Notamacropus eugenii: one gene and its partner. The protein of the gene in region 2 interacts with the protein of the main gene of each other region in a biochemical or structural test. Links are inferred from orthologs where the notes say so. Each region holds a gene or a part of one and is shown on either strand. Other genes may lie near its edges.

What was found. The genes of interacting proteins can lie anywhere in the genome.
Region 1: the proteins of NMUR1 (region 2) and NMU form a complex in vitro, tested with the Homo sapiens proteins (2 studies listed by BioGRID). The link is inferred for Notamacropus eugenii from reciprocal best matches to the Homo sapiens genes NMUR1 and NMU.

The regions. Positions count from the first base shown.
Region 1 is NC_092877.1:107,020,023-107,029,958, forward strand, and holds the start of NMU (neuromedin-U), read right to left. Parts: upstream 4,680-9,936; 5' UTR 4,588-4,679; coding exon 4,449-4,587; intron 1,990-4,448; coding exon 1,931-1,989; intron 1-1,930.
Region 2 is NC_092873.1:58,533,486-58,544,129, reverse strand, and holds the start of NMUR1 (neuromedin-U receptor 1), read right to left. Parts: upstream 4,706-10,644; 5' UTR 4,467-4,705; coding exon 4,413-4,466; intron 2,622-4,412; coding exon 2,484-2,621; intron 1-2,483. UniProt on the Homo sapiens protein: Receptor for the neuromedin-U and neuromedin-S neuropeptides.

The DNA.
Region 1 (9,936 bases), on a different chromosome or scaffold from region 2:
AAAAAAATAGTAAAATCAAATAAAAAATAGTAGTAATGGAACACAAAGAAATACAAACAAAAGAAAACAGTATTCTACTGTTTGATAAAGGTGAAAAAATAAATTACACGAATATAAACTCCCCTTTTTTAGAATAAGACTGGTTAGGAAAATTGGGGAAACGTTTGGAAGAACTGAGGTTTAGATCAAAATCTTATATCATGTACCATAAACTCACAATGTAGATTCAACCTGAATATTATCATAAAAATTCAGAAAAGATATTGTTTCTGACTATGGTTAAGGGAAAGTTCTTAACCATACAAGGAACAGAAGAGATAATAAAAGGCAAACTAGACAATTTCAGTTTCATACCACTCAAAAGTCAATAAAGGCAGAAGTGAAACAGCAGAATGGGAAAAATAAATGCATCAAACAGTTAAAAGAATGATGTCCAAGTTATAAAAGGAATTGACACAAACATATACCAAATTAAATTACTCTGAAGTCAAATGGGATAAAAGAAATCATCTAGTAAGTTAATTTTCAAAAGAATTGCAAACTATAAATAACCATTTGGAAAAAAATGCTATGGAATACTAATAGTGAAGTAAATACAAACTAAAATAATTCATAGATTTTACCTCAAACCTGCAAATCAACAAAGATGATAGAAAATAGGAAAGTTTAATATTGACAGTGCTATGGGAAGACAAGCACAGTAAAACGATATTGGTGTAACTATGAATTGGCTAAATATTTTGGATTTCAATTTGGAATTATATGAGAAGTGACTAAACTCTCCATATCTTCTGATCTAGTGATCCCACTACTGGGTACATATCCCAAATGGAGTTAAAGATAAAGGTCCCATATATACCAAAATATTCATGGTAGCAAAGAACTGGAAATAAAGTGAGTACACATCAGTTGAGGAACGACTGAAAAAACAATGTTCTAAGAAGTAATGTAATATTATTTTACAGTAAGAAATGGCAAACAGGAGGAATTCAGAGAAACATGGGAAGCTTTATAGGACCTGATCCAGAAGGAAATAAGCAGAACTCTCTCTCTCTCTCTCTCTCTCTCTCTCTCTCTCTCTCTCTCTCTCTCTCTCTCTCTCTCTCTCTCTCTCTCTCTCCATATATGTGTGTGTATGTGTGTGTGTGTGTATCTATATAATGTATATTATATTCTTGTTGCTTAGCCATTTTTCAGTTATGTCCAACTCTTTGTGACTCCAATTTGGGTTTTCTTGGCAAAGATACCAGAGTGATTTGCCATTTCCTTCTCCAGCTCATTTCGCAGACAAGGAAACTGAGGCAAACAGGGTTAAGAACCTTGCACAGGGTTACACAGTTTGTAAGTGTCTGAGGTTGTATTTGAACTTAGGAAGAGGAGTATTCCTGATTCCAGGCCTGGTACTCTATCCACTGTGCCACACACACACACACACACAAATACACACATACATACATGTACGTATGTATATATATATATATTTTTACAATATATAAATGTTAAAAGTATTAATTGATTGAAAGATCATTAAAGGAAGACAAACTTTGAATAATTGAAAAAGTTAACGATGATTCTGGACAATAGATAACAAAACATTCATTCCTTGTCATAGCACAAGGACTTGTCAGGGCAGAATGTTGATTGTATTGTCAGATATAGTCACTGTTGCATATGTTTTACTTAATTATTAACTTTGTTATAAGAGGAGTTTTAATGAAAGTGTGAACATAGGTTCCAAAATGATTGTAAAGTAAACATAAAAGTATAAACTTATTAAAACAGAAAATCACAGATTTCCAATTCTCAGTTACAATGCTACATTTTTTGGTTTTTCATTTTTAAGCTGGGGGGATAATTACATTCAAATTTGTCTTTAAAATCTGAGCTACAGTAGCTTTAAAGGAAGAAAAGATATAACAATTTCTTTTACCTCGTTCCATAGCTGTAACTCTTTGTTTGTCTGTATTGCCAGAGGTGATACTGGAACACCTGGAAATAAAAGCAAACTAGTTTTAAAGTCAATTCTTTCCAGTTTAACTCCTTTCATTCTATTCTTCTAAGCTCATATAATTCCTCTATATTTTTATGTATTTGGATTCTAATACCTATTTTCTAATTGACAGTAATGAAAGATAGTGGCTAGAGCATTGTAGAATTAAAAGGAATGAAGGTTTTAGCTAACCTTCAAATAATACAAAGCTGAAAGAAATTCTAAAGATACCAGTCAGCCCATGGTTCTTGACATTTTTTTGTGTCAAACCCTTTGGCAGCTTCGTGAAACCTTCTCAAAATATTTGAAGGAAATGCTAAATTTCATTTAAGGATAGTGAAAATACAGATGTAATTTTTTTCCCCATCCAAGTTCATGGATACTGAAATCTATCCAGGGATCCTTTGTGGATCTAAAGTTAAGAACCCCTGTTCTAGTTCAATTCCCTTCCCCATTTTAATAATGAGGAAACTGATACTTAGAGAGGTTGGAACTCATGGAAGATCCAACTGCTACAAAATGGGAGAATCAAGCCAGTCTCCTAACTTTCAGTTTAGAGTTCATTTCACTGTATATCCTGTTTCTTTACCATGACTACATTAAAATAAAAAAAAATTACTTTGAATATCTCCAGAAAATAATTTCTCTTCTATATTAAATTTTTAAAATTTCCATCACAAATCATGTAAAATAAAAATCATGGTGGAAAGATTTCTGTTGTTCATAAAATATATTGAAAAGTTCATAATTTCCTTCCAACATTTTATTATGGATTTTAAGGAAATCAAACCTGTGATTTCTTTGGAATAGGGAAATCTACCTAGCAACAGATCTAAACAACATGATTTTTCAACTTATAATTTTAGAGATTTTTGTGGGCACTAAGAAGCTAAGTGAATTGCTTAGGCTCATGTAAACCATATAGGTCTGATGTAGAAATATTACCCAGGTCTTTATGTGAAGTCTGGCTCTCTAGCTTCTAAATCACTCACTCTTTGTCTCTATCTATTGTCTATTTCTTTGTCTGTCTGTCTCTCTCGGCTACTGATATATAGATATATACCATATCCTTTAAAAATGAGTGCTCCAAGTACTTTTATAATTGTCCTTACAAATTTCAGGATCCAAGGGTTTCTAGACCATCAGGTATCAAGGATTTCCAGAAAGCAGTAAACCTCTGCTCTTAGGACTAATTAGTGATTAGCTAATGATAATAATCAACATTTATGTGATGTTTTAATACTATAAAGAGCTTTATGTATGTAAAACCTCATTTGATACAGAAATTATCTTGGTAAAATAATCCAAAAAGAATTATCTTCATTTTGCAGATGAAGAAATTGAATCTTAGAGGGGGCAAGTAATTTGTCCAAGGTCCTACACCTATTCAAATGCAAAATCCTTGACTGGAAGCCAGACTGTAAGACCAGTTCAGTGAGCTATGAAACTTCCTGTGTTACCTCCCAGCTTCAGTCATCAGAACGCTGTACGCCAGTTTGCCTAATCAGAGACCCTGGCGAAGGTTCTTTGTTCTCCATTTACCATTTGAGTGACCATGGGAAAGTTATTTAACATCCATGGACCTCAGTTTCTCCACATGAAAAATGAAGGAGCTGTAGGATAGGAACTCTAAGCTTGCTTTCAGCTCCAATCCATGAACCTGGGATCCCAATGACACAATTTCTCTATTCCGCCACCTGCGACTCCTTCCCTCCGCACCCTTCCAAACAAATGGCTAATAACCGTTATTCTTTCACTTGTCAAGACCGAAAGCCTAGTGTGAGGTCTAAACCACGCCCTCTAATGCTGTGATTGTGAGCACAGGTGTTTGTGGAGCTCAGGTATCACGCACTGCTGTCAGTCATCTTATTCCACACTAAAGTAGCCTCAGCAAATACTTCTCAAACATGGAGAGGATTCAGTGCCTTAAGCATGTGTTAGAAGGTCGTCTGTGAATGCTGAATTGAACGAATGGACTATTCCTCTGGAAATTCAAGCTGAGAGTTGTCAAATATCGCTAGAGCTCCGAGATGGTAAAAAAGAAAATGTAGGAAAATCCTAGCGAACGAGAAAGCATGTTCTCTAGCTGCATGGGAGGAAGAAATAGCCACGCAGACCACTAAAGGTTACATAAGTAAGGACAAATGACGGGTTAAATTAAACTTCGCCCTCATCTGTGTTTGGACTAAAAAATCATCTCCGATATTCCTTCCAGCTGCAGTTTCAGGACCCATCAGTGGAGCCAGAGAAAGGGAACCGGGAAGCAACGGACAGTGGAGAGAAGAAAGCTGAAGGAGAGAAGGAAAGGAAGGGTGATTTCGTGAGTAAAGAAGAGGGTGTTTGTGAGGGGAGCGAATGGGTGCCTAAGTTCCTCTAGTCTGCCCTCCTGGCTCTTAAACGGGTCCAGGATTGGACTACCTGAACAGGCACTTAAAGAAGAGGTAGGCAGGTTCCTTACCTTGGCAGACGCATGCCCAGGAAGCGAGGAGCAGCAGGAGGAGGGGAGCAGCTGGACGTCCACATCCCAAAAGCTGTTTCTCAGCCCTGGTGTAGCCAGTCAGAGGAGGCAGCTGACGGCAGCTGTGATCCCTGGGCATCCTTGAGTTTTCTCGCTGCCCAGAGATGCTTGTTGGGCTGTCGATTTCTACAGCCGAGCGCGTATGTGGTCCCCAAGTTCCTCACAGGCCCCTCCTAGTGGCCTCGAGTGTCCTGGGATCACTTGTTCTTTGCTTCCCACTGTGAAGCTGCCGATCTGACAGCCCTTCTGTCCCCAAACTTTTAAATCTCCAGAACCCGTGGGCTGAGCCTGCTCTGAGCCTCTTGGCGCGCGTCACCAGCCTTCTGCCTCCTCTCCACCTCCCTCCGCCTCCACCTCCTGCCCCTTGTCCATGCGTCAGTTCTGTATGACAGAGTCCTGTCTGACCTGGCCCTCCAGGGCAAGTTGCCTCTCTAGGCGAAGCAGCCCACTTGACAGTTGACTCTGACTCAAGAGGTTCCTCCTTTCTTCTCTATTTCTTTTCCCTCCCCTCCCTTTGTCCCCTCTGAATCCCCTCTGAGAAGCAGAGATCTGTATTAAAATAATAATTTTTTATCAACTTTTCCATCTCTAACTCCCGTAGGAATAGAAATCCACAATGATAGTAAACCATTCTTGGTGGTGACAACAAATCAATTTCCTGTAAGAATTTAGAGACTAGAAAGATCTTATGAAAACGGAGTCAGGGGATAGTTCAGGAAACGACAATAGAAGACTCCTTGCTTCTTTCCCAGCTTTAAAGGTCATTAGTTCTCCAGCTGTCCTTGGCTTGGACACCTCACACATTGGGCACTAAAGAGAAAGTGATGGGACTAAAGAAAAAGCAGTCACAGGGCTGGTGGTGCAGCGGACAGAGTACCGTGCATAGAGTCACGAGGACCTGAGTTCAAATAAGGCCTCATATACTTGGCACATACTAGCTGTGTGGCCTTGGGCAAATCACTTAACCCAAATTGCTTCCCCCCCCCAAAAAAAAATAGAAGAAAGAAAAAATACTCATTCTTCAGAGGTGGGCTTCTATTAGATAGCCTTTGAGATCCCTTGTAACTTCAAAATTCTAGAATTTTAGGATTCTAGAAATCTTAGGGAAGAGTATCTGAGCAAGACTGGACTACTCCAGGTGGCACTTGGGAAAGTGAATTTGTGTCAGACAGACTTTCTGTCACTGGAAACTCTGTGTAGAATCCTAGGATAAAGAGACTTCAGTTGTGTCTTATATTTTATATGATTGGTTCTACTGATAGTAAAACAATGTTAATTTAGTGATAAATATTATCAAGGACTTCAGGCTCGGGTTTTGAAGTAAAATCAGGCTGGGACTACTCTGTTTCTTGTAGAGGACATAAAAGACTATCATGGGACCTTGAGTTTGTGGTAACAAACTGTGGGTTTATACTCTTATGAGTATTTGAATTCAATTTAGATTAAAGAAGAATTCTTAGCAGTTGGTCATGCCTATGGTTCAGAAAGAGTCAGTCTGTGTGTGTGTATGTACATGTACACATATATACATATATACATGTATCACTTAATATGCACCAGGCATTATGCTAAGAGCTGGGGATGCAAATAAAAAAGGAAAAATAATCCCTGCCCTTAAGTTCATAATTTAATGGGGGAAGATGATACAGAAAAGGAAGAATTGGGGAGGGGAGAGCATGAGTACCTGGCAAAGGGAAATGAATCAAAACCAAGGAGAGCAGTTAGTGGGAAGTGAAGAAAAAGACTAGAAGAAAAAAGACTGAAAATCCCATATTAGGTAATTAATGAACTGATCAGATTTATAGTGCCATAGGTACTGTAGATACAAAAACAAACAAAAAATTGGACAATACAAGTTCTCAAGGAGTTTACCTTTAATATTGGGTACTACATGTAATATGTATATATATGTATGTGTGTATACATATATATGTATTGTATGAATGTGTATTTTACATATAAATATATAGAGAGATTAAATACAAAAACAAACTCAAGATAAGGAAGGAGGACTGTAGCAGTTTGAAGGGGGTGGGATTAGGAAAAACTTTGTGTGAAAAGTTGTGCTAGACATTTAAAGAACAATGAATTCTGATACTATATAAACTATTTGAAAAAATAGGTGAAGTCCTACCACATTCCTTTTATGACACAAAGTGGTTCTGATGCCAAAACCAGAAAACACCAAAACAGAGAAAGAAAATTATAGACAAATTAGTGTATTAATTGAATATGAATATTAATGCAAAAATTTAAATGAAATATTAGCAAAAACAGTGCAGCAATTTACCACCAGAATTGGCTAATATGACAGAAAAGGAAAATGATAAATGTTGGAGAAGATGTGAGAAAATTAGAACTCTGCTGCATTGTTGGCAGGGTTGTGAACTGATCCAACCATTCTGGAGAGCAATTTGGAACTATGTCCAAAGGGCTGTAAAACTGTGTGTACCCTTTAATCCAGCAATACTACTAGTAGGTCTGTAATCCAAAGAGATCATAAAAAAGGAGAAAGGACCCACATGTACAAAAATATTTATAGCAGCTCTTTTTGTGATGGTAAAGAATTGGAAATTGTGGGGATGCCCATCAATTGAGGAATGGTTGAACAAGTTGTGGTATATGAAGGTAATGGAATACTATTGATAAGCAGGAGGACTTCAGAAAAACCTGGAAAGACTTAGATGAACTGATGCTGAGTGAAGTGAGCAGAACCAGGAGAACATTGTATACAACAATAGCAACACTGTATGATGATTAACTACGAGAGACTTAGCTCTTCTCAGCAATACAATGATTCAAGACAATTCCAAAAAAGTCATGATGGAAAATGCTATCCACATCTAGAGAAAGAACACTCTGAATGCAAATTGAAGCATACTATTTTCACTTTTTTCTTTTTTCTTTCTTATGGTTTTTCCCTTTTGTTCTGATTTTTCTTTCACACCATGATTAATGTGGAATTATGTTTAACATGACTGTGCATGTATAACCTATATCAGATTGTTTGCTATCTTGGGAAGGGAGGAGGGAAGGGGAAAAGAGAGAAAAATTTAGAACTCAAAATTTTACAAAAGTGAATGTTGAAAACTATCTTTACATGTAATTGGAAAAAATAAAATACTGTTAAGAAAAAAAGAAAGTGGTATTAGAGCTTTGACTCAAAGGAACTGAGGGATTCTGGGAAGCAAAGGTAAAAAGTACCTTCCATGCATAGAGAATGACCAATGTAAAGGCATGGAGATGATAGAAGGGAGTGCCATCTGGTCCATTTTGAGTGGACCAGAAAATGTAGGTAGGGGAGTATGACATAGTGAGGTTAAAATGATACATTGGGGCCAGGTTGTAGAGGGCATTAAAAAATAATACAAATACATATTTCCCAAGTCTGATTTCTTTTTCATTCATATCTAAGACTATATTACTGAGCTGCCTTTTCTTCGGAGAAAGAGATGTGGAAGACTATGGTTAGTTTCATTCTAGAATTACTTTGAAGACGAAAAGAAGAAATGAGAGGGTTTTTTTGCATCCCATATTGCAATGGTAGCTCAGTTCTTTCTGACTTGTAACTTAAATCTCATGTAACTTAAATCTCATCTTAAACCTCCTCCATTATAATGTGAACTCCTTGAAAGGAGGGTTTTTTCACTTGTCTTTTTTTTATTCCAAGTATGTAGCAGAGTGCTTTCAACATAGTCAGTACTTGGTAAATGCCTTTTCTTTCATTTTCATTTGTAATAGCATAGCACAAAATAAAGGTTGGTTTTGTTTTTGCTTTTGATTTGTTGTTGTTGATAGACATACAGAATACAAGTAGGAAAGAAGCTAGGAGAATGGAAGATAATGATTTTGCTCTGTCTTCTTGCTCTTATTGATTTACATACCACCCTGCAAAGGATCTTGGGAGAAAAGTAGGTTTTGTCCAGACATGCTGCTCCTATGGAATTTCTCTGGGAAGTTCACTGGAACTGGGTTTTGGTTCTCTAAGAGGTTAAATGGGAATTACAAGGAATGTCTAACTCTGAGAGTTGTCTGGGATGATTGATCTCAGCACCAGAAAGAGAAAATCCAAAAAACAGATTGAATCTGAGCTTGGAGGTACCTGGTCTACCTTTTGTTTGGTGGCCCTAATCTAAGTGGCAGTGGATAGAGTGCTAAGTTAGAAGTTAGGAAGACCTGAGTTCAAATTTGGTCTCAGACATTTACTAGCCTTGTTCCCATAGTCAACTAACTTCACCTTGTTTGCGTCAGTTTCTTCATCTGTAAAATGAGCTGGAGAAGGAAATGGCAAACCACTCTAGTATCTTTGCCTGGAAAATCCCAAATTGGGTCATGAAGAGCTGTACATGGCAGAAGGAGAAGAAGAAGAACATGAAGAAGAAGAAGAAAAAGAAGAAGGAGGAGGAGGAGAAGTAGGAGTAGCAGCAACAACAACGAGTTTATGGTGGCTCATACCTTCATCAATGGCTAAAGAGATTTCAACCTACTCTATCAAGTCACATGTCTGGTTACATAGGAGCTGAGAGATCCAACAGGTCATCACATTATGTAGTACTATAGATTTAGAGCTAGAGGAGACCTCTGAAGCCAAGTAATCCAATGAGTAAGGAGTTAAGAGTACAAAGAAGGGAAATGATTTTCCCAGTGTCACATGGCTAAGATGGTCCAATAGGGGATTTGAAACCAAGTCTTCCAAACTCCAAATACACTATCCCACAGTGCTCAAGAGAGATTAATCTCAATAGCTAGTAGAGGAAAAAATTCAATGACCACAAGACCAGTAGAAGAATCTACCACAGGACCAGTATAGGGATGCAAAGGAGAGGTGATGTGATTAAGAAGAGAATAATATAGTAACACCACTAGATGACATTAGCAGCATTTGAGATATGAGTTGCCCTAGCTACATTTATATCATCAAGATTTTGGGAGGGAAACAACATAGAACTAGAGCCAGAAGGGACCTTAGAGATCACCCACTCCAGTTTCTAATTTTACATTTGAGGAAACAGGAGAAAAAGTGACTTACCCAAGGTCCTAGACCTAGTAAATGGTTGCAGTAGGATTTGAACCTAAGGTTTCTGGCTTTAGAGTCAATGCTTTTCCAGTCAACTACACTTACACCCCAAGAAGGTAAGCAGTAGGTTTACAGGTTAGCACTTGCTCCAATATCACCATGTTCTGAATTTAAGACAAAAGGACTGGGTATTCCAGAATTGTTGAATTGTTTTTCAGTTGTGTCCTTCTCTACATGATCCCATTTAGGGGTTTTTTTGCAAAGGTGCTGAAGTGGCTTGCCATTTTCTTTGCCAGCTTATTTTACAGATGAGGAAACTGAGGCAAACAGGGTTAAGTGACTTACCTAGAGTCACACAGCTAGTAAGTATCTGAGGCCAGATTTTAACTCAGAAAGATGTCTTCCTGACCC
Region 2 (10,644 bases):
CTTACACCTTTACATAAATATTTTGTGTTTACTAATAGTTTCCTTCCGGTTCTTTGAAGGAAATAGGGGGCCCAGGTTTCCCTTGGTTTACTCAGGGAGAAATCTGATGCGCGAAGAGAGAAATTTATCTCCCAAGAATATTGTTATCAAGCATTTATTAAGTTTCTACTATGTGCCAAACGGTGTGCTGAGGAACAGGCAGTTGGGAAACAGTTTGGAAAACAGTAGAAAGGCAGGCAGAGAGAGGTGGGGGAGAGAGAGGAGGAAGGGAGAGGAGGAGGGGGACAAAGGAGGAGAAGGAGGAAGGGGAGAATGGGAGAAAGAGGGGAAGGGGAGAAGGAAAGGAGGGAGGAGAGGGAGGTGAGAAGGGAGGGAGAGGGACAGGAAGGAGGGGAGAGGAGGATGAAAGGAGGAGAAGGAGGAAGGGGAAAGTGGGAGAAAGAGGGGCAGGGGAGAAGGAAAGAGGGGAGGAGAAGGAGGGGAGGAGGGAGAAGGGAGTAGAAGGAGGAAAGGAGAAAGTGACCTGCTCCCTACCTGGCTCAGGCAGGAGCCTTGTACGAAGACAGATGGGGAACCTTTAGTCAATTCTCCAATCCAATGAGCATTTTCCCAGTGTTCCCAGACATGGTGAGGTGAAGGGAAAACGAAAGACAAAATGAAATAATCCTGCTTTCAAGAAGCTTCTATTCTACTGGAGAAATAAAACAATTCCAGACAAATAAATAGAGTATAATCCAAAGAAAGACGCAGTAATTTTTGTGGGGAGGAGTGCTCACAACTGGGAGATCAGGACTGGTTTCATGTAGGGACCTTGAGCTGAGCCTTGAAAGATACTAGTCCAAGGCAACATGGTTAGTATATACATTGTTCCAGTTTTCCTGGATGGGGGCTATGAGCAAAGTGATCCAGAAAATCCATCCTGGTTTTCCTAGGCCCTCTGATACAACATTTATATGGATATTATTGTGCCCATTTTCAGATAGGGAGACAGAAGAATGGTGTCTCAGTGACTGCATTCAGGGCTAGGACCCAAACTTTAGACTTGGCTCTTGCACCTCTCGGATCCCCAGGGAGCACAGGGAGAGGGTAAAAGATAGGACTCCAGCGAGGAAGCCACCTTTGGAGTCACTGCTCCCTTAGAATGCTGGGGGCTGGCTGGCTTGTACATGGACACCTGCTAGGTACATCCTCTGGGCTGTTTCAGGGTACATCGTGACCTAGGACATGATTCCAGAAGATAAGCTTCCGAGTTTACCCACCATTAGCTCTTCCTGGATCCTCCCAACCCTATTCTTAGACCATCTTTCTTCAGGACTTAGAGAGGGTGTTATCTAGTTCCCACCCACCCCATTTTAAAAAGGAAAAGATTGAGGCTTAAAGATGTTAAGGTAATAGACCCCTTGCTCAAACCAAAGTCCTCTCTCCATGATGCCAAGTCTGCTTTTAAGGCAATAAACATGTTGGGTGTGAGATGCCTATGGGGTATTCAGTTGTGGGAATTCAACAAGTGATATGAGACTGGAGCTCAAAGGGTGATGGGGGTAGGATCTATGGACTGAGAGTCATCTGTGGGAGACAATAATTAAACCCATGGGGGTCCATGATGTCACTAAAAGGGAGGGGGGCTCAAGACAGGGCCTTGAGGGATACTTCAGTCCTCAAGGCATTGGGAAGGAGATATCTGGTTCCCCCGAGTTTTTTTTAATCAGAAATTCAAACCAAAAGAAGAGAAGAAAGCAGACAGTCACGGCTGAATGAACTGGTGAAATATTGTTCTCGGAGGAGCCTGGCATGGTGGTGACAGAGGGAAGGGCCTGGACAGGTCTAGAATTTCCCCTCCCCTGCCAGCTCAACTAGCTTTTATTACAGCCCCAACTTTCCAGATTTCATGCCACTTTTGAGGGTTGGAAGTGGAGACAGGATGAAGATTACTCTTTCTCTAATACTGTGCAATCCAAGTTGCTTACTGACTTTGCTGTCTAAGTAGGGTACTATGCAGTGACCATGTTATGTGGACAGCTCTCCTTTTTCCAAGTATCATACCACATCAGGAAAACTTCCTCCCTGTTTTTCTCTCTGGGGCCACTAGGTGGCACTATGATAGAGCAAGAGGTTTGGAGTCAGGAGGACCTGAGTTCAAATGTGACCCTGGGAAAGTCACTCCATCCTCCTGCTCTCAGTTTCCTCATCTGGCATATGAGCTGGAGAAGGAAATGGCAAACCACTGCAGTATCTTTGCCAAGAAAATCCCAAATGGGGTTACAGAGTCAGACGCAACTGAAATGACTGAAGAGCAACCTTTCTCTCTAGGTCTGATCCACAAACTCTTGACTTTTGGGGTGGCCCACAAGAAAATTCCTAAGACTGGGGCTAAACTAAATTTGAGGTCACATAGCCTAAAGAATTCAAAATTCTGCATCCCTCTCTATAGGACGCAGTGTTCTTGAACTCACTTCTCAGAACTCATGTAAGTACATACTCACCATTGCCATGTGCCTTCTGGAGAGAGGGAGAAACTGTTTACTCAAACTCCACCTCCTTATTGCACTACAGAGGATGGTGTTGGGGAAAGAAGCTGGAATCCTGAAGAACCAGAGTCCAGGAGATGACCAGCTTGCTCCCTTAGGTAAGAAAGAGAGAACAAGGATCTTCAGTCAGTCTGGCAGTAGGAGATCCCAATGTCCTATGGCTGCCTCCAAACAACGGCCTAAATACTAAAATCAAGGAATTCTCTTGATCCGTTGCTCTCATACTGAAAGAGAAGGAAAGGAAAAGTGAGCAGCTGCCCTCACAACTAGCAATGAGGGTGACACAACTCTCTCTTCCCCTCCCCTCTTCTCCTCCCCTCTCTTCTTCTCCTCCTCTCCTCTCCCCTTCCCTCTTCTTCCTTCCTCTCCCCTTCCACCCTTTCCTCCTTCCCTTCCTCTCTCCTTTCCCCTTCCACTATATCTAGGTAAGCCTCCCATGCTTCAGTTTCCTCACCTGTAAAATAGGGAGGGGATAAGGTTCCTTTTAGATTCTTGCCCAGAATCAGGCTGGTAAGGACCTGAGGCAGGATTTGAACTCAGGTCTTCCTGACTCTAGCCTTCTATTCATAGTTCCCCACTACCCCTAGCCATGTAGATTGTGAAGTGCCTTTAATTGCATTTGTATGTGATCTCCTTAAATGAAACAGTCTTGGCTAGACCTTGCTGAACTCCTACACAATTTACCGCGAGCTGCCCTGTACATGTCTTATCTCTCTCAGATTCTAATATCTCTGAGGGCTTCCACGGTGGCTTGGATCTCTGCTATTCCCCACAATGCCTTGAACAGAGGAAACAATGGATCAATATTTGCTGAATGAATAAATTTATGGTCTCCTTCCTCTCCTTCCCCTGTGGGGACCTAGGCACCCTCTGCTGCCAACATGCCTGCTTTGCCCACTGGGCTGCCCTGTCAGGTTCTGAAGCCATCCACTAGTTTGTGACCTGATCATTCTCTTCAGGAGTAGGAACATCCTGGGTCCTGTGACTTTAGTGCCTTCTTCTTTCCTCCCATGGCCAAAGCAGAGCTCATTATCTTTCCCTTCAAGTCTGCTGCTCAAATAAATGTCCCCATTACTGTCATGGGCGTTACTGTCTCTCCTAAGGTTTCCAGGACTCCCTGCTCCCCTTCGCTCATATCTAGTGGATCACTCAGGTTCGTCTCTTCTGTTTCCATTTGACCCCTTCCCTCCACTACCACAGTCCCTGTTCTAGCTCTGTTTCCCCTCCCATCTCATCTCAGCTATTTCAGTTGCCTCCTATTCCATTTCCCTTCCTCAATCCATCTTCCATGAAGCCCCCAAATGATCTCCCTGAAGCACATCTGACAGGTTACTCTCCTCCTCAAGAAACTCTAGTGGCTCCCAATGACCACTGGGGACAAATATAAACTGTTTGGCACATGAAGCCTTGCACAACGTGGTTGTAACCTACTTTTCTAGCTTTATTGTGTGTTTCTCTCTTTGCTGCACTCTACAGCCAAACTGACCTTCTCACACATGACTTTATGCCTCCTGTCTCCACGTTTTTACACAATCTCCCCCTCCCCCTTCATTCCTGACCCCCTCCTCTCCTTCCCGACCTCTGACCCTTAGAATCCTTGCTGTTCAATCACTCACTTCTGTCCAACTCTTCAAGTCTTATAGATCATGAGCCTCCACTAGCATGTTTTCCATTAACAATAAGCCAGTAGATACAATTATCTCTTGGCAAAGATATTTATTAAGGCAGCAAAGTAAAAAAAGTAGCTGTAAAACATTTCTACCATAAACCTGGGGCACACTCTCCCACAAATACACACAGCATCCATGGTAAGAGCAGGCTCAACTTTTGAGTACAACAAGACAGTGGAGAGACGTGTATATGTGTACAGAAAAGGCAACTCACAAGTTTTGGTACTGCAAGGCCTCCAAGTCTTTTCTTTCTTTGGAAAGTCTTCATATAGACTGCTAGGTGGTGCAGAGGATGGAGCCCCAGGTCTGGAGTCAGAAAGCTTCATCTTTGTGAGCTCAGGTCCAGCCTCAGACTCTTACTAGCTGTGTGACCCCGGGCAAGTCACTTAACCCCATTTGCCTCAGTTTCCTTATCTGTAAAATGAGCTGGAGAAGGAAATGGCAGTATCTCTGCCAAGAAAACCCCAAATGGGGTCACAGAGAGTCAGACATGACTGAATAACAACAGATTCATGCATCTCCCTTTGAGAGTGTCAACCTGAAAGCTTGGTTAAAGAGGCAAACAGACTAGGTGACGTGTAAATTCATATTGTTTATTTCCTCACAGCTAGCCAAAGCTAGTTTAACCTATACGTACAAGGAACCAAAACATAAATTTTGACTGTCTGATACAAAATGACCAGCCTTAAATCTGTTTTAAGACAATCCCAGGATGTCTGTGTCCCTCAGATTTATAATCCCCATGTGTCTTTAATTATGCCATGAGAAAGGAACTTTCTTAATTGAATAGGTGGTAAATACAATGAAAGTTGACAAAGTGTCAGTTTAAATTATGACCCAGGATATCTGTGTTTTCTTTATCATTAACATGCCATAACATAGTATGTATCCAAAAATATTAAGATACGGAAAAGTCCCATTATTCAAGATAGTTTCTCGGGTTAAGGGTCACATCCTTAAACAGAGGAAAAATGCTCTTAAGTCAACCCCATGTGGCCTTATTGACATAGGAAGAGGTATTTTCTGAGTTTACTCAGAGAACAAAGAGGCTGTTAGATCTAGGCTCTTCTTCTGATTGGTTAGGTCAGGCTCTGGACCTTATTAAAGTCCAAAAATGATATTAAATGATCACCATTTGCAATGGCTCTGGTTCCTAGATTCTTTTTCCCATGTCTTCTCCTCTCTGCAGGTGTCTCACTTCTCTCCTACCAGCTGTCTTGTGGATATGTGCCTCTGTTTCTTCAATTTCTGCCTCAAACTCTCTAAAATAATGAATTCCTGGATTTGTCTCCTGGGTGGGACATCTCCCTCTGGGCAAGTCATTCTAGAGGCCACAGTCACTGTGGGGAATGGGGCAAGGAGAGGAAAATATCCTTCTCAATACTTTTCTGAGCCTGTGCTCCCTACAGGAATGCTTTCCTGCCTTAGCTACGGAAGACCCTGACACCTTTTGAGGTGTTCTTCCCAGTAAGATCGCTCCCTTTAATTCTGTCAGCAAAAGGGGAGTCACATTTGAAAGGGGTCACCACATGTGGCAGCAAACTTATACTTAGTTTAATGCCCTGTGAATTCGTATTAGAAGCTCATTATCTGTGACTAAAACAACTTATCTGGGAAAGAAGAAATCTCACCTTCCTCCCTTATATCAGGGACTTTGTATAGGTACAGATCTTTGATAGAATGAAATATCCTTGAAGGCAGTCAACAAACAAACATTTATTGAGCACCTGTTATATACCAGATACTCACTGTGTTAGGAGCTTCTGAGGATACAAAGAAATGTGGGAAAGACTCCTTGCCTCTCATTCTCTAGAGGGAAATACCGATATATGTAAATATAGGGGCAGGGAACCCCCCACACAGTAGGTGCTTAATAAGTGCTTGTTGATTGACTGTTATCTCCTCCATGAGAACTTAATCTACTTGAGGACAGGACAGTTTTGCTTTGTATCACCAAAGCTTAGCATGCCTGGTACCAGGCACACCGTGGGCACTTAGCACTTAATGATTTTTTGGTTTTTAGGCACTGCTGCCTGGAGATGGGAGGAGATCTAGGTGCTGAGAAAAAGATGAGTTATTATCATCACCCTCTACACTGGTGTCACCTAGACAGGCAGAGCGAGGACTCCCACCCTCAGCCAGGACTATGCTCTTTCTGGTGGACAGAGTGGCTACGCCCTCTGCCCCCTGTCCTGCAAGCTGGGCAGTGTGCTTCATCATTGGTCATCTGGAATCATGGCTGGTCATGGCATGACTGTTCTCTGGTTTCTCTAAACCTGTCTCTTTCATTATTTCTTATGGCACCGCAGGATTCCATTCCATTGTCCAGCCATTCCCCAGGTGATGGGCACCCTTTTGATTCCCAATTCCCAACACCCCCATCCTGCGGATGAAGAAACAGAGATCTAGGGAGATGCAGTGACTTGCTTCAGAGGTCTCATCCAATGTCCTGAGCAAGGGAAGGCTGGCCTACAGCTTGACTTGATGTATCTGTCAGCCCTTGTGTTGAACAGAACCCAGGTCTGCTGACTCCTGGAGCCCACGATACCTCCCTCAGGTCAGCCTCAGGATCGGGTAGAGCAAGGGTCCAATGCTGGAGCAGCTACCAGCTGATCCTATATCCTCCACCCATCTCTCTGCTCTGCCCTTGGGTGCCAGCAAGGCTCTGCCTTGGACAGGAACCTTTCCTCTCCATGTAAAGACAGAGCCTCCCTCAGCACCAAGAAGTTGGCTCCTCCCAGAGCTGAGATGAGGCGTTTCTGTGCCCGAGTGATGTTTGAGAGTGAAGTGTTTTGTTCTTTGTGACTGTCCAGTGACACCTTTGAACCTTCCCTGCAATACAGAGACCTGGCTAATGGAGGCAGTAGAGGGTCTGGGAAAGGGCCGGAGGGGGAGCCAGGGAATTATTATCACTATTGTCATCATCGTCATCAGATAACAAACAAGGCTTTAAGGGTTACAATGTATCATCTTATTTGAACTCAACAACTGGCAAATAAAGGATAGAATTATTCCCATTTTTCAGATGAGAAAATTAAGATAATAGAACACTTAAAAATACACAGAAAAACCCCCAGAGTTTAGAAGGGGACAAAGAATCACAGAATTTAAATGTTGGAAGGGACCTCAGATGGATCCACATACAAAAGGAATTCCCTCTATAACATCCCCCCAAATGGCCATCGAAGCCTTCCAAGGAAGGGCAATTTGGCTGCTACTTTGTAAAACTGAAAATACTTAAAAGTTCAGTTTGATACACAATCCTCTTTTTTTGAGTTCTTTGTACATTGAAATGCTTGTTAATGATTATTAAATTTGCAATAAGTGGCTAGCTGGCTGGTATAGTGGCTAGAGCACTGGGCTCTGAGTTCAAATCGTCCCTAAGACGCCTCCAGCTATGTGAGCGTCTGTTTTATCTTTTAATCTGAGTTTCTTCATCTGTAAAATGGGGATTATAAAAGCCCATGCTTCCCAGAGTTGCTATGAAAATCAAATGAAAGAGCTTACTTGGAGTACCTTGCAAACTTCAGTGCACTATAGCAGCTTAGTTATTATTATTATAAATAAGATTTTTTTAAAATAAAAGGAACTGTCTCAGACAGGTTAAGTAAACTGTTTGTAGTCATAATGCTCATTTAGTTTTTAAGGTTTCCCAGGGGATTATCTCATTTGCGCCTCACAGCTGCCCCAAAAGGAAGAGAAGTAATATTGTCGAACCCATTTTACAGATGAACATGTGGTATTTACCAGGCATGGCATATATTCCAGCTTGGACTGAGCATTTGGTTCATGGAAAAGATAAGGCTGGAGAGATGATTTGGGCCAAACCTAGAGGCATCATCGAATGTCAGAATAAGGAGTTTAGATTTCATCCAGAAGGCAATGGGAAGGCACAGTTGAGTTTTGAACGGGGAGATATTTGATCAGATCTGGTTGTGCATGCAAGACAGACTGGGCTATCACACCCCTCATCACCCCTTTCTGCTGAGATACAGTCTGGGCAGTGACCAGGAGATGTTCACGGAGAAAGAAGGAGGCTGAAAGTCTCTGAGTGGAGGTGCCATGCTCAGAGTGTAGTCACTAGGAGGTGCCCAGGATGGCATCACTCTTGGTTGGCCCCAGACAGGGCTCTCTGTTGCTCATAGAATCACGGATTGAAAACTAGAGGGAACCCCTTCATTTTATAGATGGGGAAACTGAGGCTCAGAGATGATATGACTTTCCCAAGGTCATACAAGGATTAAATGACAGAATCAGAATTCAAACCCAGATCTAGTTCTCTTTCTTTCCTATTGAGCTAGGTAGCCCAGTGGGTAGAATGCTGGGCTTGGAGTCAACAAGGCCTAAATTCAAATCCTGCTTTAGAAACTTATTAGCTGTATGACTGGATAAGTCACTGATCTTTTCTGGGTCTCAGTTCTCCCCATCTGTAAAAATGAAGACATATCTAAAGTGGCTTCCTGCTCCAGCTTTGGGACTTCTCACGTGATTGATTCTCAATTTCTTTACCGACTTGTACTTCTCTGAGAATGGCCGTCAGCCCTCTCCAAACTGGCTCTAGCCCTCATTCCAGCTTTGTGGAGCATTAAAAAGAGCCTTGGATTTAATAAATGACAGAGAATTTACCTTGGTTAAACCTCTTAGCCCAGATGAGGCTCAGTTTCCTCCTCCATAAAATGGGTTGGGCCAGCTAGCTATGGAGGGAGGTTCTTTCCAGTTTGCAATGCTCCTAAGATCCTAAATCCTTGCCCTGTGAGGACAACACAGGACCAGAAATGTAAGGGCAGGCCCCTCCTCTGGGGGTGGGGCAGTGGGGGGGTAGGGAGCTGCCCCGGCGTGCCCTCCCGGGGCATTGCCCTCCCCCCTGGCATCGTGTCGAACTCACTTTCAGATGACTTAGTTTCTGAGTCACTGAGGACGTGGGGTGAGGTTGAGGAATGTAAAGGAATAAATGAGGGAGACTGGAGAGGGCTCAGCCCCTCGTCCCTTCACTAGACTCCTCCACTGAAAGCCAGGGGCCAGGGCTGGCTGCCCCATTGTTTTACAGAAGAGGGAACTGAGTCCCAGGAAACATCATCTGAAAGGATTTTCATTCCTTCATTCAATGAGTATTTATTAAGCACCTCCTGTGTACCACACATGGTCCTGGATGCTGGGCAGGTCCAGACAACCACAAAATGTCCTCTCTCCTCAGGGAGCAGAATGAGTGTGTGCAAAGTTAATACTGAAGCTGATCCTTGCAGGAGGATCGCACTAGCACCAGGAGGCATCAGCAAAGGCTCCAGGAATTTTGTAGGAAACCGAGAGGGGGGATTCTAGGAGAAGGAAATGAGGAGGGAAGGCAGTCCTGGAGGGAGGGACAAGAGAGGGGCAAAGTCATGGGGGCAGGAGATGGAATGTGGTGAGCATGGGATCTATCAGCAAGAAAGGCAATATGTTGGGAAGTAATCTCTAATAAGCCTGCAAAGGAGAGTGAAGCCAAGTTGGGGCAGGCTTTAAACACCAGCAGGAAAACAGGAGATCGAGGGAGGCTGGGATTTAATTGCTGTCTTCAGGAATCTGAGGCTATCCTGTGGAAGAGACTCCTGTTTGGCGCCAGAGGGCAGAGCTGCAGGATGGGAGGGAGTCGAAGGAAGAGAGCTGTCCTCAAGTAGAAATAGTGAGTGTCTCCTCACACACATGCACACGCACACATACTCATATGTGTACTCACACACACTCATATGTGTACTCACACATTACACACATACACACACTGAAAGTCATCTAGCACTTAGGGGTTGGGGGAGAGCAGTTGTGGAAGGGCATCTTGTTCATATGTGGGTGGGATGGTGTTTGAGACAGTGTGGTGCAGTGGAAAAACCCTGGGGTTTGGAGAAGTCAGAAGACCTAGGCTCAAAACCTGGATTTACTAGCTGTGTGACCCTGGGCAAGTCACTTGAGATCCTAATCAAGGCTCCTTGGAGACTCTTTCTGAACTTGGCTCCCGCCTGGTGGAATGGGAGTGGGAGGGCTGAAGATTGGTGAAGATTCCCTCCAGTGGATCTCTGGGGAAATACACTCATGCTGGGTGCATGGTCCCTCATGAGTGAAGGACTCCCAGAGGAGGGGGCGGTTAATCTTAGCGTCTCCCTGCAGGACCTCCCGTGGCTGCTTGGTTGTCCCTTCCCTCACATCAGGGCTCTCTTTTTAAAGTGCTTGCCTTGCCCTCCAAAAAAGACTCTGCAGCCCACCCTCTCCTAATTCATGACCCAGACACCCCTGACTAGTCCCAGCACTTTGCCCTGATTCATATCTACATCTGTCACCCTGACCAACTGGATGTTCCTTAATGCTGCTAAATGCCATCTGTAAAATGGGAGAGTAATCCCTCCCTCACTGGGCTACTGTGGGGATCATAAGAATTAGAGCCAGAAAGGACCATAGAGGCCCTCTCATTTGGGCCT